Linked DNA regions of Callithrix jacchus. The protein of the gene in region 1 purifies or fractionates together with the protein of each later gene. This does not show direct contact. Links are inferred from orthologs where the notes say so. Each region holds a gene or a part of one and is shown in the gene's direction. Other genes may lie near its edges. The genes, in order: SNX9, DNM1, SYNJ1 and DNM3.

Region 1 (3,566 bases):
TAAATTTGTCATCAAGAAATCTAAATAGGCCAGGCACAGTGGCTCACACCTGTAATCTGGCAGTTTGGGAGGCCAAGGCAGGTGAATCACTTGAGTCCAGGAGTTTGAGACCAGCCTGGGCAGCACAGGGAACCCCTAAAAATTAGCCAGGTGTAGTGGTGTACACCTGTGATTCCAGCTACTCGGGAGGCTGAGGTAGGAAGATCACTTGGGCCCGGGAAGTCAAGGCTACAGTGAGCTGTGATCATACCACTGCACTCCAGCCTGGGTGACAGAGTGTGACTCTATCTCAAAAGAAAAAGAAATATAAATGAACGCAATCCAGTATTGATTCCTGCGATCCGTTCTTAGCCTTCAGTGGATTCTAATAAACAGGAAAGAACGCTGGCTCCGGTCTGTATGGACCGTTGCTTAGCCTCTCTGAGCCATGGTTTCCTCATCTGTTCATCTGCAGTGGTAGTGTCTACCCTGTATGGTTCTCAAAATTTAAGAGCTCATAAATAAAAAGCACTGGCTACAGTCCCCAGGACAGGGCAGGTCCTTATCCTAGCCACAAGCTTTTGTTGGAGTCTTTAGTAGCCCAATTTCAGGGTTTTGTTTTTGTTTTTAAATAACAGATAAGTTCCCTTAAGAAGAATCAAAGTTAATTTTCCAATCCCTTACTTAAAAAACGTTTTTTTCAGATGACTTAAAACTATGTTTGTGGATACACAGATGTGTACACCCACTAATGTGGTTATGGGCTACTTTCTGATACTTCTAAAAAAGCATTCATTGTAGAAATGTGAGTAACATAGCTACTAAAATCATAATTCAGAAAAAAATGGAAGAAGTTAAAATGATTACTAGGTGTTTTAATAATATTTTTATATTCTCTGCTCATATTTAGAAGTTCAACTTCAGCAGCTCATTTGCTTGTATATAAACATACAGTATTAGATGAATTTTTTTCCTTTGTGGTGGTATATTTTGGGCCATGTCAAAATACTTTTACAAACCAACTTAAAAATTATATGTTTTGTCGTTTTCTTTACAACATGTGATTCAAAGTATGGCAGTCTTTGGAGTTATTTCCTTTTAGAAAAAGTAACGTGAATGCTTCACACTCAGCAGTTTAGTGTAGCACATGCAGGATTTGTAGTCTTTGGATATAATAGTTACCTTTTCCTGGATTTTCTGAATTTCTCTGCCAGTAACAACCAGCTTGTATCTTGTTATAGCCAAAGAAAGATCTCCATTTCCTGATGGAATGTAATCACGAGTATAAAGGTTTTCTTGGCTGCTTCCCTGACATCATTGGCACTCACAAGGTAACCTGATCTAGACACTTAAAGAATACACCACCAGACGAAGCAGGCATGTGTGTGCAGTCGTCAGTATAGGTCTTATAGCTTTATTATTAAAAAGGAAACAATAGATAATTCAGGTTTTGTAACTGACTTTTAAAATTGGTTTGGAGTGTCTTCACTTATTAATTCTGGTTTTCTCTCCCTTTTTAAAAATCTGTACATCACCTCAGGCATGAGTTGTGAGTATTTTATGTCAACCATAGTAGTCTAGTATATTGCTGTGTACTTGGAGTTGTTAGGAATATCTCTGCCAAGGATTGGGCTGTGATCTTAACAGTCGTGGCGTGTGGCCATTTTAGCATTCTGTTTTATAACTGAAATAATCATGAAAGGGTTGCGTAGGTAAATTAGGTTTGTACAACTTCAGATAACTTAATATAAAACTCAGAACAGTGAGCTTGTTGTAGAAATGTATGCCAGCAGCATCAGAGTTGTAGGCCTGGAACCTAATGTATGCATGAGTATAGAGCTTTTCTTTCCAGACAGTCCTAAGTAACGAGCAGCATGATGATATTGGAGTGGGAAATGTTTGGCAGTGTTTCCCACCACTTCCATCTAAGTCTTCACATTGATGCAGTGCCTCTTACAAGAATCGAAGTAAAGCCCTGACTTACAATCAGCGCACTTAAGCACTAGCTCATAAAATATTCTGTTGGATAAAAGAAGAGATGGAGACTGCCTGCGTGCACACACTACTCTGTACCTAGCCAGATGACTTTCGAAACTTGCTAATGCCTGATTGCCATGATGTGCTACTCTTCAGATGGCACCGGCTTCTCAATATTACAGAGATGGTGTGCTGTTTGCTCTTCTCTTTTGTTGTAGCTTAAAACTTTTCATTTTAGCTTAGTTACATTTTTCAAGAATAGCAACCGTTTTGCTTCCAAGGGACTTGAAGGAAGTTAAATTCAGATGCTTTCCTTTCTTCTTATTTTGTGGAAATATTTCCTGTTCAGTAGTAAATCAGTTATAGACTATATTAGCATTGTTATATTTTAAACTAATGACTCATCATTTTAGCTTTATTAATACTGTTGCATTTTATATTTCTCAGGGAGCAATAGAAAAAGTGAAAGAAAGTGACAAACTAGTTGCAACAAGTAAAATCACCCCACAAGACAAACAGAACATGGTGAAGAGAGTCAGCACCATGTCCTACGCGCTGCAAGGTGAGATCAAAGGGTCCTTATGAGGTGCTGGTGGAGTTCATCTCCCCCAGCAAAGCTTCCCTTGCTAGAGAGAAATCCAAATGTGAGCAGTAGTTAAAGAAGCCCCTTGTTTGCAGGATCCCGGTGTTGATGAAAATCTGTGATATTTATTCAGATTTTCACCTGTCTACCTTATGTAGCTATGGATGACAGCTTGATTAAAACTGCACATTTTTTTATTTCTCAGACACATGGAAGATTCCTTTTGTAATCTGTGATGTCATCATGCTCTATTAAATGCCAGTGCTCAGCTTTTAGCAGTCTGTCACCTGCATGCCTTGGGATCGTGGAATGTGAAGGGGTTTGGATGTGTCATTTTAGGCAGGTTTTTTGTGTGTTTTTTTTTTTTTTTTTTAAAAAAGACATTAATGTGTATAGGTTTGAGTGTTTTTGAGCAGATGAGAGCAGCAAATAGATTTTTCCTGTTGGTGGACGGGTGGATGGCACTGACGTGGGCAGAGGAGAATGGAGAGGGTGTTCTGGTGGGAACAAAAGCCACAAAATTGTGGTGCTAGATTGTGTCATGGGTGTGAAAGAGTAAAACATACTTAGAGGTTATTGGGAATGAAATTTGGATTGTGAAAGAACTTGAAAGCTCTAGACTTGATGTGGGTGTTAAGAAGCCATTAAAAGGTTTTTAAGTGAGAGAAAAAAATCAATCCTCAAGGGAGAAGGATTTGATAGGTGTGGAGGGGGATTGGAGGTGCAGACACTGTCCCGGAGCCTGGCCAGAAGACCATCGCTAGTGTAGCCTGAGCTTTGAGGACCTACAGGTGTGGTCCTGGGGAGAAGAGAATGAAGCACATTCGCAGGCTCTTCAAGGAACAGCTTTCAAGACTGGGGCATTCATGGGAGAAAGAGAAGGACGAGGGAGTGTCCAGAGCCAAGGCCATGGCAGCAAAAACAAGGAAACCTGATTGAAGTTTTGGGTTTTGAAGGGTTTGAAATGGGGAATTTGGTTTTGAACTTGTGTTTGAGGTTATCGAATTGATAAATACGAAGCTTTGTA
Region 2 (3,154 bases), on another chromosome or scaffold:
GCCTGGGTGACAGAGCAAGACTCCATCTCAAAAAAAAAAAAAAAGAAAGAAAGAAAGAAAAAGAAATGTAATGAAGTGCTGGGCATGGTGGCTCATGCCTGTAATCCCAGCACTTTGGGAGGCTGAGGCTGAAGGATCACTTGAGCCCAGGAGTTCAAGACTATTCTGGGCAACACAGTGAGACCTTGTCTCTACATAAACTTGGTAGTAGCACGTGCTTGTAGTCCTAGCTACTGGAGAGGCTGACATTGGAAGATCACTTTGAGCCCAGGAAGTTGAAGCTAGTAAGTGGTAATGTTGACACTGTACTCCAGCCTGGAGACAGAGGGAGACCCTATCTCAAAGGAAAAAACAAAACTGAGTAGACAAGTGTTCTGGTGGCATGATAGGTCCTAAGTCCCCTCCCAGATCTGTGACCTAGGTCAGATGACTTTTCCTCTGGACCTCAGTGTCCCCATCTCAATGAGAAAAGCGCAGTGGGAAGGCGGAACTTCCAGTCTAAGCAGTGTTGGAGCCGCGTCTGAAAAGCCATACTCTGGGCTTCAAGTCCAGCGCACAGTCCCAGCAGGGCCCGGTGAGGCGGCCAGGGCGGCACAAGGGATGGGGAGGTCCCACCTTCCTTCCCTCTTTGCCCACTCGCAGACCAAGGAGTTCATCTTCTCGGAGCTTCTGGCCAACCTGTACTCATGTGGGGACCAGAACACGCTGATGGAGGAGTCGGCGGAGCAGGCACAGAGGCGCGATGAGATGCTGCGCATGTACCACGCGCTGAAGGAGGCGCTCAGCATCATCGGCGACATCAATACGACCACCGTCAGCACGCCTATGCCCCCGCCCGTGGACGACTCCTGGCTGCAGGTGCAGAGCGTACCGGCCGGACGCAGGTACCAGGGCCGGCCCCCACGGCCCCAAAGCCCCCCAGCCCGGGGCCCGCGGGAGGAGTGCCGGGACCGGGCAGTGGCGCGCCCGCGTCACCGGGGTGGCTCCCACCTGGAGCGAGGGGCGGAGCTTAGAGAGGGCGGGGCTTGCTGCAGGGCGGGGCTTGCCGTGGAGCGCTGGCTGCGGGGCGGGGGGAGCTGGGACGTGGCGCCGCTGGGGGCGGGGCTTAAGCTCCGGCGACCGCCTCGGGGCGCGGCAGGGAGGGGCTTGCGTGCATGGGCGTGGCCTGCACTGGGCTGGGGCGGGGCCTCTGGGTGGGCGGAGCCGCTCATCTGGCCTCTCCTTGTTCCTTGCTCCCTGTCGCCCTCAGGTCGCCCACGTCCAGCCCCACGCCGCAGCGCCGAGCCCCCGCCGTGCCCCCAGCCCGGCCCGGGTCGCGGGGCCCTGCTCCTGGGCCTCCGCCTGCTGGGTCCGCCCTGGGGGGGGCGCCCCCCGTGCCCTCCAGGCCGGGGGCTTCCCCTGATCCCTTCGGCCCTCCCCCTCAGGTGCCCTCGCGCCCCAACCGCGCCCCGCCCGGGGTCCCCAGGTGAGTAGGGCCTGAATGCGGCGGCAGAGGCCGCGGACGGGCGTGACCGGGAGGGAAATGGGGCTGGATTCCAGAGCATCGGACCTGGCCGCCAGAACCGGCGTTTCCATCCCAGGCAATCAGACTCTGGGTGCCGGAGCCACGCCACGAGTGGCCGAGGGCTGGAGCCTGCCCCCGAGGGAGCGCTGAGTCCCGGAGGTGGTCGTTTCTGGGGACGGGCTGTGGGGCTCGTCCCACCTGCCCCCTTCTTTCTAGCACTTGCATGGCGCTTCCCTCTATTTTCACTCTTGGCGGCCGCCCACACGTTGCATTCCTCCTCCTTTCTTCTCGCTGTCCTCCATCCTCCATTCCGTCCAATTCCTCTCCCAACCCCTGGGGAGCCTACCTCAGGTCTGAGTCTAAACCCCGATCTGCTCTGGGTGTGTGGATTTCCTTCAGCTACCCTGATGTCCCCACTTCCCAGTCCTGACTCCTTTGAGCCATCCCAGGGGGTGTCCTGCCACTGGCCCACAGGAGCAGAGGCCAGGCTGTGACTGTGTGACTAGCAAGGTGTGTGATGTGTGTGTGGGCGTGCACACGAGTGTGAGAGTGTAAGAATGGCACCCAGGCCTGGGCTAGGACACGAGCAGGTGGGGAAGGAGCCTAGTGCCATGGGCAATCTGATGGCTCCCCCCCTCACCCCCCACAGCTTCTGACACTACCCAGTCTAAACCAATGTGCAGGGGTGGCAGCAGGGGCAGGGATGGGAGTGACTGAAGCCTGCTTCATTCCCAGAGATTTCTAGGGAAAAGCTTTCTACTACATCCTTTGGCTTGACCTTCTTGACCCATGACCCTCTTTTAGGGAAGTTCACTTGGATTCCCAGTCTGCTCTGTTTCCACTGGCCAGGTTCTCTAAGGAATAACACACCAGAACCATAGCATCTGTTTTTGTTTCCACATGGCTGGAGGGTAGGGCTGTGGGTCTAGCACCCATAAACGAAAATGAGGTAGGGATTGGGGCTTGCCCTATGATGCTCTGATGACCAAAGCAGATGGGTAGAGGCAAGCAGCATGATATTGGGTAAGAGCATTGGACTGGGAGTCCAGAGATGCTACTTCACCATGGGGCTTTAGGCAAGTCCCTTTCCCTCCCAGAGCCTCAGCATCCCTTCTATCAAAAGATGACCTTCTGCCTTTCTACCTGGGTGGTTGTGGGGATCAAGGGAGACAGTGGCTATAGGGATCCTGTGTTAACTGTAGATGCGACCGTAGGAGCACTTTGCTAACTGCCAACGTGAGTTCAGACTGTTCAGGGTATTTGGTACTCAGGTCTGTGGTGTGGTGTGCCATATGGGATGTAAGGTTTGATGCCTGCTCTGACTCCAGTCTTGCTAACACATGCAAAACATTTGGCAAATCATGGACCTGCCTTGGGGAAAAGAGTAGTCTGGGAGAGCTTCTTCAAGGCAACGTGACTTCAGTGCAGTCCAAGGCATGACTGAGATAGGCTTATGTGGCAAGGAATCAGGAGAGTATCTGGGTAAAGAGCTGCAGCGTGGGCAGATATGTAGTGTGGGCTGCATCGAGGATAGCCACTGGCCAAAGCAGAGAACAGAGACAGAATGAGGAAGAGCTCTGTGGGGATGGTGGGGCATAGGGTGGAGAACCTTCAAAGTCTGAAGAGTTCGACTTGTTGGGGCTCAATGCT
Region 3 (3,566 bases), on another chromosome or scaffold:
CAATGAATAAAACAGACAAAAATCCCTATCTTCGTGGACTTCGTATTCTAGTGGGAAGAAACAGACAGTGAACGATAACTACAATAAGTAAACTATATAGCAGGTTAGAAAAGTGCAGTGGAAAATAGAGGAAAAGGATCAACTCTAGGGACACAGAGAAGTGTTGGCAGTCTCAAATGAATAATCAGGATAAGGTTCATTGAGAAGATAAGGAATGAATTTCAGCTACTTGGGAGGCTGATGTTGGGAGGATCGCTTGAACCCAGGCAGAGGTTGCAGTGAACCAAGATCCTGCCACAGCACTCCAGCCCTGGGTGACAGAGTGAGATCCCATCTCAAAAAATAAAAAAGAGATTAGGAGACATAACAGGCAAATGCAATATGTAGACCTTGTTTGGACCCTTTTAAAAGAAACAAACCAACCGTTAGAAGATTTTTTTTGATAAATGGGGAACTTTACTTATAAACTACTAGATGATATTAAGGAATTAATGTTTAAATGTGATAATAGTATTGTGAATATGTAAAAATAAAAATGTCTCATTGCATTAGAGATACATATAGAAGTATTTGCAGGTGAAATTGCATAAGTCTTAGATTTGGTCCAAAATATTCTAGGTTTACCAAAAAAACAAAGGTGAAGAGGGATGGAAGAAAATAGATTGGCAAAATATTGATAATTTTGAAATGGGTATATGGTGGTTTATTTAATAATTATGTTTTCTAATTTCCCATAGCAAAATTTTTTTAGAAGACATTATAATTTAGAAAAATAAAAGTAGGGAAATGTATCTGGAAGCACATATAGTTGGCTCTCCATGTCGATGGGTTTCACATCTTTGGGTTCAACTCATCAGAATATTAAATATGTTTAAAAATTGTGTCTGTACATGTGCAGGCTTTTTTTGGTCTTTTTTTTAGCCTTTTTTTGGTATCATTAATCCCTAAACAATATAATATAACAGCTAGTTACCTAGCATTTACATTGTATTAAGTATTACAGGTAGTCTAGAAATGATTTAAAATATACGAGAGATGTGCATGGATTATCTGCAAATACTACTCCATTTTATATAAGGGGTTTGAGCATCCTTAGATTTTGGCATCCACAGGAGCTGGAACCAGCCCCCCACAGATACTACTGTACTTCTCTGTGATCTTAATGAATACTTAAGGAAAAAGTAAAATGTATAAGTTTGAGTTTACTCACCCAGCGAGGAGTCATTTAATGTCTTTATATTTTCTTCATAAAGAAATAATAGATTAGATTTTGAATTGTGGTTTTCTTTTGTCTAAATTGTGAGTTTTCTTTTTTAAAGGAAACAAAAACAGCCTAAGCTTCCTTCAGAGTCTTAGGAAGTTTGGGTAGATAAAGGTATGATTGACAATTGTCATAAAATAGGCTGTTGTCATTATCTTTTTTAAAAATCCCTTTTTAATATTTTCTTGTAGCACAACAAATCAGAAGCTCTGGGCTGTAGAACTTCAGAAGACAATCTCCAGAGACAACAAGTATGTGCTGCTGGCTTCTGAGCAGTTGGTGGGCGTCTGTTTGTTTGTTTTTATCAGACCACAGCATGCTCCTTTTATCAGGTCAGTAAACAGAACACTCTCCTAAGGCTACTTCCTACCATTAAATAACAAGAAAAAAGCCTAGAATATTTATTATTTCTGTTCTTCAAACAAAAACTATCCATAGTTCTTGTTTTAAAATGGTTTTGGGGGTTTTGATTAAAGACTCACTAATAGCTTCACTGTACTCTTTCATAGGCTTGCCCTCACAGTAGCATATTATGTGTTACTTGTATGATTATGTATATTCCTGATTTCCTATGCACGTGGCATTCTTGAAATTTCAATCTGTGATTTAGAATTCTTCATTTCAAAGGGATGTTGCAGTTGATACTGTGAAGACTGGAATGGGAGGTGCAACTGGAAATAAGGGAGCAGTTGCAATCCGAATGCTGTTCCATACAACCAGCCTTTGCTTCGTCTGTAGTCACTTTGCTGCAGGGCAGTCACAAGTCAAAGAAAGAAATGAAGATTTTGTAGAAATAGCACGAAAGTTGAGTTTTCCTATGGTAAGCTTTTGCTGCTTGTTCTTGAAGATAAAGCTTTGAAATGTATTTTAATTTGCCCCAAATTCTACATCAGTGTTTTTGAAAATTTAAGATAGTTCCTAGAAACATTTAGAAGTCCTAGATCAGCCTTCCACTGAATACACAATTTAGTCTGGGTCAGTGAATCTGCGTTTTTACATAAACAGTAGGCTAGAGGAAGCAGTCAGATGTGCATTTGTCTCAGGTGAGTCTGAGAGGGATGTCTTTGAGTTCTGTCTATCCTTTGTCCACAGGGAATTTCTTTGGGCAAATTGTGACAGAATTACGTAGCTTCTTATCTTTGGACCTGTGAATAAAATGAGAGGCAGGTTTGCCTGCCATAGTTCCCAGCTTCATTTTTCTCTGGGCTTAGTGATTTTGAGGTCCTGAGGTTTATTTTCCTTTCATGTGTATTATTACTGTTGGGTTAAAGAAACAGAACATGGGAGGAAACAGGCATATCTGAGGCAAAGAAATAGTTCTAAAACATTTTGAACGTTGATTGTTTTGAATTTAAAATTCTGTCTCATTGCTTTCAGGGAAGAATGCTGTTTTCCCATGACTATGTATTTTGGTGTGGTGATTTCAACTATCGAATCGATCTGCCTAACGAAGAAGTTAAAGAGCTCATAAGACAGCAAAACTGGGATTCTCTTATAGCAGGAGATCAACTTATCAATCAGAAAAATGCCGGACAGGTATATTCATACTTGAGAAAATACTTGTATTAAGAAGATTTTGGGTCATGAAACATGACTTTTTTAATCAAGATGTTTTAAAATTTTCTTGGGGTCTTTTTATACTTATATATCTGCAGGTAAATAGATAATAGAATTATCTTTCCTTAAAGTAATAAAAATAGGAAAGAGAAAACCCATAATAATTCCCAGAAAGAAAAATATATTATGTATCTATAAGATTCATTTTCTAATAGAAGGATAAACTTTTTTTTTCCTTGGTAATAGTTTAGAATCTTAGTCTTTAGGGCTGTTTTTTGGGTTAAGTCCTATAGTCATTGACTCTTTTTTCTTTTGTTTCTTATGTCATCTGACTTTTGAAACACTTCTTAAAACTTACGACCACAAAATTTGGGAAGAATTCATTAAATTTTTTTTTTTTTAGGTAAAAGGATCAGTGGCCATCTAGTATGGTGTCTGGTGACCACCAGACTTGAATTCTAACACTTTGGGCACCACGTTACCTTTTCAGGCCTCAGCTCCTTATTTGAGAACAGGATATCAGGCTAGATGTTTCCAAAATCCCATTTCCAGTTCTAAATGTCTCCTATAACACAAAGATTGGGCAGAATTCCCTTATTCATGTTTTTGTAGTTAGTTTAATCAAATGTCAAACAAGTGGTCTTGACCGCTTCACAGGTGGGAAGGTGTACGTGGGTGCTAGTGGGGGTGGACTCTGCTCACTCAGCCCACTGTGCTCCATCCTTTGTGGGAGAGGGAGCACTGGTGA
Region 4 (4,132 bases), on another chromosome or scaffold:
TTTCATTCTACATAATGTATCTGAGATTGAACCACGTTGTTGCTATATCAGAAGTCTACTCTATTTTGGTGTGGAGAATAGTTCACTGTATACACATACCACATTTGTTTATTCATTCACCTGTTGAGAGACATTTTGGTCGTTTTCAGGTTTTTTTGTTATTATGAACATTTTAATACAAGTCTTTTTAGAATTAGAAGGAACTGTACATTAAATGTTGAGATGACAAAAGATGACTTCAGTTTTGAATACATTCAGTCTGTGGTACTTGAAGGACACTCAGGTAGTGGTCTGGGTCCCTCTTGGAGTATAGTCTAAGTTGCAGAAGAGAGACAGGGTCTAGCAATGTAAATTTCTGTAGTCGCCAGCCTTTACGCAGAGTTAAAGCTGTGGGAAGTCCTCAGGCAAAGCATAAACATGAGACAAGAAAATGCCCAGATATTAAACCCTGAGAAGCACCAGTATTTGAGGAGCAGACTAAAACGGAACGCTCTGTGGAGGCTAAGAGAAGCATGGCCAGTGATCTTTGTGTCGCCATCATCAGGCACAGGACCTCACACACAGTCGCTTCTCAATATGCTAAATTTCATAGAATGCATCCAGAATATCTGGTTCTGGATAGACCCTGTAGAAGGAGATAGACCAGGAGGGCAAATGGCATGAAGAGTCTCACAGGCCAGAGTGACTGAAGGGGTGTCTGGGGCAGGTAGACCCTACAGACATTACCTGTGCTTATGTGGGGCTCGGGGGGACGAGTCATTACAGATGAAGAATTAGGTAAGGTCAGACCACTCAGGGTCTTAGATGTCAGATTGAAGAATTTAGACTCCAACAGGCCTGCTACCCTGGGAGGAGTCCTAGCGGGTTCTGGAGAAGGGCGTGACTGAGGAGATTTCCTTTTGGGAAGTGTACCCTGGCAGCGGTGCCCCGGTGGTTGTGGCGGCGGTGCTGCTCTTGCTGTGACCGTGTTGTGTTGTTAGCCGCGATAGTACTTTGACTTGGTAGCCGCTGGGCTTTGGCTTGGTAGCCGCTGAAAGAGAACAACGTTGCCGGCTGCTGCTGACTTCATGCCATTCCTTGACCCGGCGCTGTAACTTGGCCTCTGAGCCTTGGCCACAGAAGGCAGAGGCGGTGTCTTCTGGCGGCAGCTGGGAGGCCGTGCGCGCGGGGCGGGTGGTGGGCTGGGAAACCCGGGGCGGGGCAGCCACGGGGCGGGGCGTCGTGGAGCCAGGCCACGCCCCTGGACGCCCGCGCAGGCGCGCTGCGGGCCGTTAGCTGTCAGAGCCGAGCGGCGGGCTGGCGGCGGGCTCCGACGTCTGCGCCAGGACCCGGCGAGCTGAGCTCGGCGCACCAGCCGCAGTCAGGGCAGCGCGGCCCCGACTCCCGGCCAGGTCGTAGAGGCAAGCAGGGACCAGCTGGCCGCCGGCCGCTCGGGCAAGATGGGGAACCGGGAGATGGAGGAGCTGATCCCACTGGTGAACCGTCTGCAGGACGCCTTTTCGGCCCTGGGACAGAGCTGCCTGCTGGAGCTGCCGCAGATCGCTGTGGTGGGCGGTCAGAGCGCCGGCAAGAGCTCCGTGCTCGAGAACTTCGTGGGCAGGTGAGCGTGCAGGGCGCGGAATAGGGGTGCGGCGGGGGGCGACCCCGCTCCGGGCCGTTGGAAAGTGGACTGGAAGCGGGAGCCAGAGGGTGGACCAGGGGCTGCGGTGGAATGAGAGGCAGAGTGACGGTGTCCGTGGGGCGGGCGGGGTCCTCCAGCTCCGGGCATCCTCCTTCCCCTACCACCCCGCCCCCCTTCCCTCGGCTGGTGGCCCTCCTGCCTGCCTTTCATCCTGCTATACAAAGCCATTTCCTCCGGGTCCTCCAGTTTAGGAGTCGGGGGAGGGGTCCGCCCCGAGATGGACCCCCATCCCCTCGGTGCGCGCCAGCCCCGGGCAGCCTGCCTGCGTAGCGTGCCAACGCTTCCCAGTCCCCTCTCCTGTTTTCCCGGCTCAACACTCCCCTCCTTTCCCTGCCGCCCTCCGCGAGGCTTGCTGTGAGGCTGTGGGGCTTTATCCCCCGAGCCCCCTCCCCTAGGTGGAGATGCTTTCCTTCTCCCCTGGGCTCTTGTTCCTCTCAGCTGTCTACTGTTCTAGACGGTCTTCGCCTGCCCCTAGCTGGGGAGGCGGGGTGCGAGGAGAAAGACGTCGTTTGTTGTGGTGAAGCTTTTTCCACAGACGCTTCCCCACCATTCTCCTCCCCGAGAGTCGAAGAATAAAAGGTGGTGTTTTTGCGTGTGCACCTATTCACAGCTCCAGGCAACTGCGAGAGAGCCCGAGGCACAGACTTGGCAGGGGGTGGACGTGGACTTGTGTTGTCCAGGTGCCATGTCATTCCTGCATCATCTCGGAACTGACCAGCATCTTTCTCGCACTCTCTCCGCGCCCCCTCCCCCAGCATCATTTTCCGTTCTCTAAGCTCTTATTTGTCTTGCTAGCCTTCGAGATAATATTCTGAATCTAAATTGTAGCTGTGGTTTTCCTCATGACTTTTGATACAGAAACAGCGAAGGAATTAAATTTTGAATTGGGAATCAGCATTTCTTCCACTGAGCAATTCATGAGGGATTAAGTTACCTTAATGGCCTTGCCTGAAGAGTGCAGACATTTGCTCAGAAAAGCCCATTTGAAAGGGTTATGAAAGGTGAAATTTGTTTCCTGGTAGTAGAAAATCAGGTAGAAATGTACAGTAGCCAAGAAAAATTGCTGGCGAGATTGTACTTTATTCTTTTTATTTGGCTCATTTGTGACTTGGAATGCAGAAGGTTCCTGTTCCTGTTCCTTTTTTCTTTTTTTTGTTAGTGCTTGGTGATGTGTAAAATTTAGAGCTGGATATTCCCACATTTCCTTTGGAAATGTTAGTGTTCATAAAGTACATATTCTTTTCTCTCAAATGGTGTTCCATCTCTCAGGTGATACTATTTTTCCTGTATGAACTAGAAAGATAAGCAACCTAATAAAGTAAAATTACTGACAATTGGCTTGTATCCTTGAGTAATTCACTTAATCACTAAACCTCATTTTTATCATTTTTTTGATTAATGAGCAAAGTGAAGGTAAAGCATTTTGCCTATGTCATCTTAGACTTGTGGTGAAGTGATGGATAAATGTGTTATTTCAAACATAACAGTTACTTTCTTTGTTGCCAATGAAATTTACTAGATTTAAAGGGGCATCCAAAGAGTGAGTTTTGATAATATATTTTTGGTTTTCCAAATGCCAGGGCATTTTGTCATGACACTTTAAAAGTTATTGAATTTTTTGTTTTCTTAAACAAAATACTTAAAGATTAAAATTGTAGGTATTTCAAATGAAATTACCATATTTTTATACATCTTCCATATATTTACTTGGATGAGCCTATATTATATGTAAATGCATTGTTTGTGGTCAGAGCTTTTAATGCCAGTTGTATGCACATATCATAATTCTATTTTCTAGGTTTTGAAATTCTAACATTTTTCCTAATGTTATAATAAAATCGTACACATTTCCCCTTACTAGCTATGTTCTTTTGAAATGATAATTTGAAAACAGAAATATGGAAGAGTAGAATATTCAAGCTTGGATATTTTTCAAGATGGAATAACAAATAGGGACATTATAAGGATAAAAATCAGACACGAGAATACATTAGTAATTTGTTGTACATTAAAAAGTTGTACCACTAATTAACTGCTAGGATGTCAAATCAAAGGATGAACATAGAGGAAAAAGGTCATTTAAGCCATATGTAAAGTCTGTATTATATGTAGAGATGACACCTGCCTAGCAGAGCTTATATATTAAGGAGAAAATTTATTTAGAAAGGTCATTGAGTTTAATAAAATATTCGGTCATTGAATCATTAAGGAATCCAATTTCCAATTATAAACCAACCTTTAGGGAAAATGGAGTTTTCTATTTTGGTAAGATATTCGGCCAAACTGAAAAAATTGTATCCATTTTCCAATATAACATCTTAGTGTTTTCTTGTTCTTATCTAGGAATTTTGCAAAAAAGATAAGGTTCTTTCCTAAGGATGCACTTTCCTCTTTTACATGGAACTGTTTTCATTTTAAGCCTCTGATCTAATGTGCAGTTATTGAATGCAG

Evidence for each region.
Region 2: the proteins of SNX9 (region 1) and DNM1 purify together in Homo sapiens (co-immunoprecipitation; 6 studies listed by BioGRID and IntAct, counting the BioPlex papers as one, with this or other methods). This does not show direct contact. The link is inferred for Callithrix jacchus from reciprocal best matches to the Homo sapiens genes SNX9 and DNM1.
Region 3: the proteins of SNX9 (region 1) and SYNJ1 purify together in Homo sapiens (co-immunoprecipitation; 3 studies listed by BioGRID and IntAct, counting the BioPlex papers as one, with this or other methods). This does not show direct contact. The link is inferred for Callithrix jacchus from reciprocal best matches to the Homo sapiens genes SNX9 and SYNJ1.
Region 4: the proteins of SNX9 (region 1) and DNM3 purify together in Homo sapiens (co-immunoprecipitation; 3 studies listed by BioGRID and IntAct, counting the BioPlex papers as one, with this or other methods). This does not show direct contact. The link is inferred for Callithrix jacchus from reciprocal best matches to the Homo sapiens genes SNX9 and DNM3.

The regions. Positions count from the first base shown.
Region 1 is NC_133505.1:164,761,526-164,765,091, forward strand, and holds part of SNX9 (sorting nexin-9), read left to right. Parts: intron 1-1,220; coding exon 1,221-1,310; intron 1,311-2,403; coding exon 2,404-2,518; intron 2,519-3,566. UniProt on the Homo sapiens protein: Involved in endocytosis and intracellular vesicle trafficking, both during interphase and at the end of mitosis. Required for efficient progress through mitosis and cytokinesis. Required for normal formation of the cleavage furrow at the end of mitosis.
Region 2 is NC_133502.1:176,857,363-176,860,516, forward strand, and holds part of DNM1 (dynamin-1), read left to right. Parts: intron 1-642; coding exon 643-884; intron 885-1,249; coding exon 1,250-1,465; intron 1,466-3,154. UniProt on the Homo sapiens protein: Catalyzes the hydrolysis of GTP and utilizes this energy to mediate vesicle scission and participates in many forms of endocytosis, such as clathrin-mediated endocytosis or synaptic vesicle endocytosis as well as rapid endocytosis (RE).
Region 3 is NC_133522.1:38,737,756-38,741,321, reverse strand, and holds part of SYNJ1 (synaptojanin-1), read left to right. Parts: intron 1-1,452; coding exon 1,453-1,593; intron 1,594-1,888; coding exon 1,889-2,081; intron 2,082-2,638; coding exon 2,639-2,797; intron 2,798-3,566. UniProt on the Homo sapiens protein: Phosphatase that acts on various phosphoinositides, including phosphatidylinositol 4-phosphate, phosphatidylinositol (4,5)-bisphosphate and phosphatidylinositol (3,4,5)-trisphosphate. Has a role in clathrin-mediated endocytosis.
Region 4 is NC_133519.1:30,875,948-30,880,079, reverse strand, and holds the start of DNM3 (dynamin-3), read left to right. Parts: upstream 1-1,280; 5' UTR 1,281-1,439; coding exon 1,440-1,600; intron 1,601-4,132. UniProt on the Homo sapiens protein: Microtubule-associated force-producing protein involved in producing microtubule bundles and able to bind and hydrolyze GTP. Most probably involved in vesicular trafficking processes, in particular endocytosis.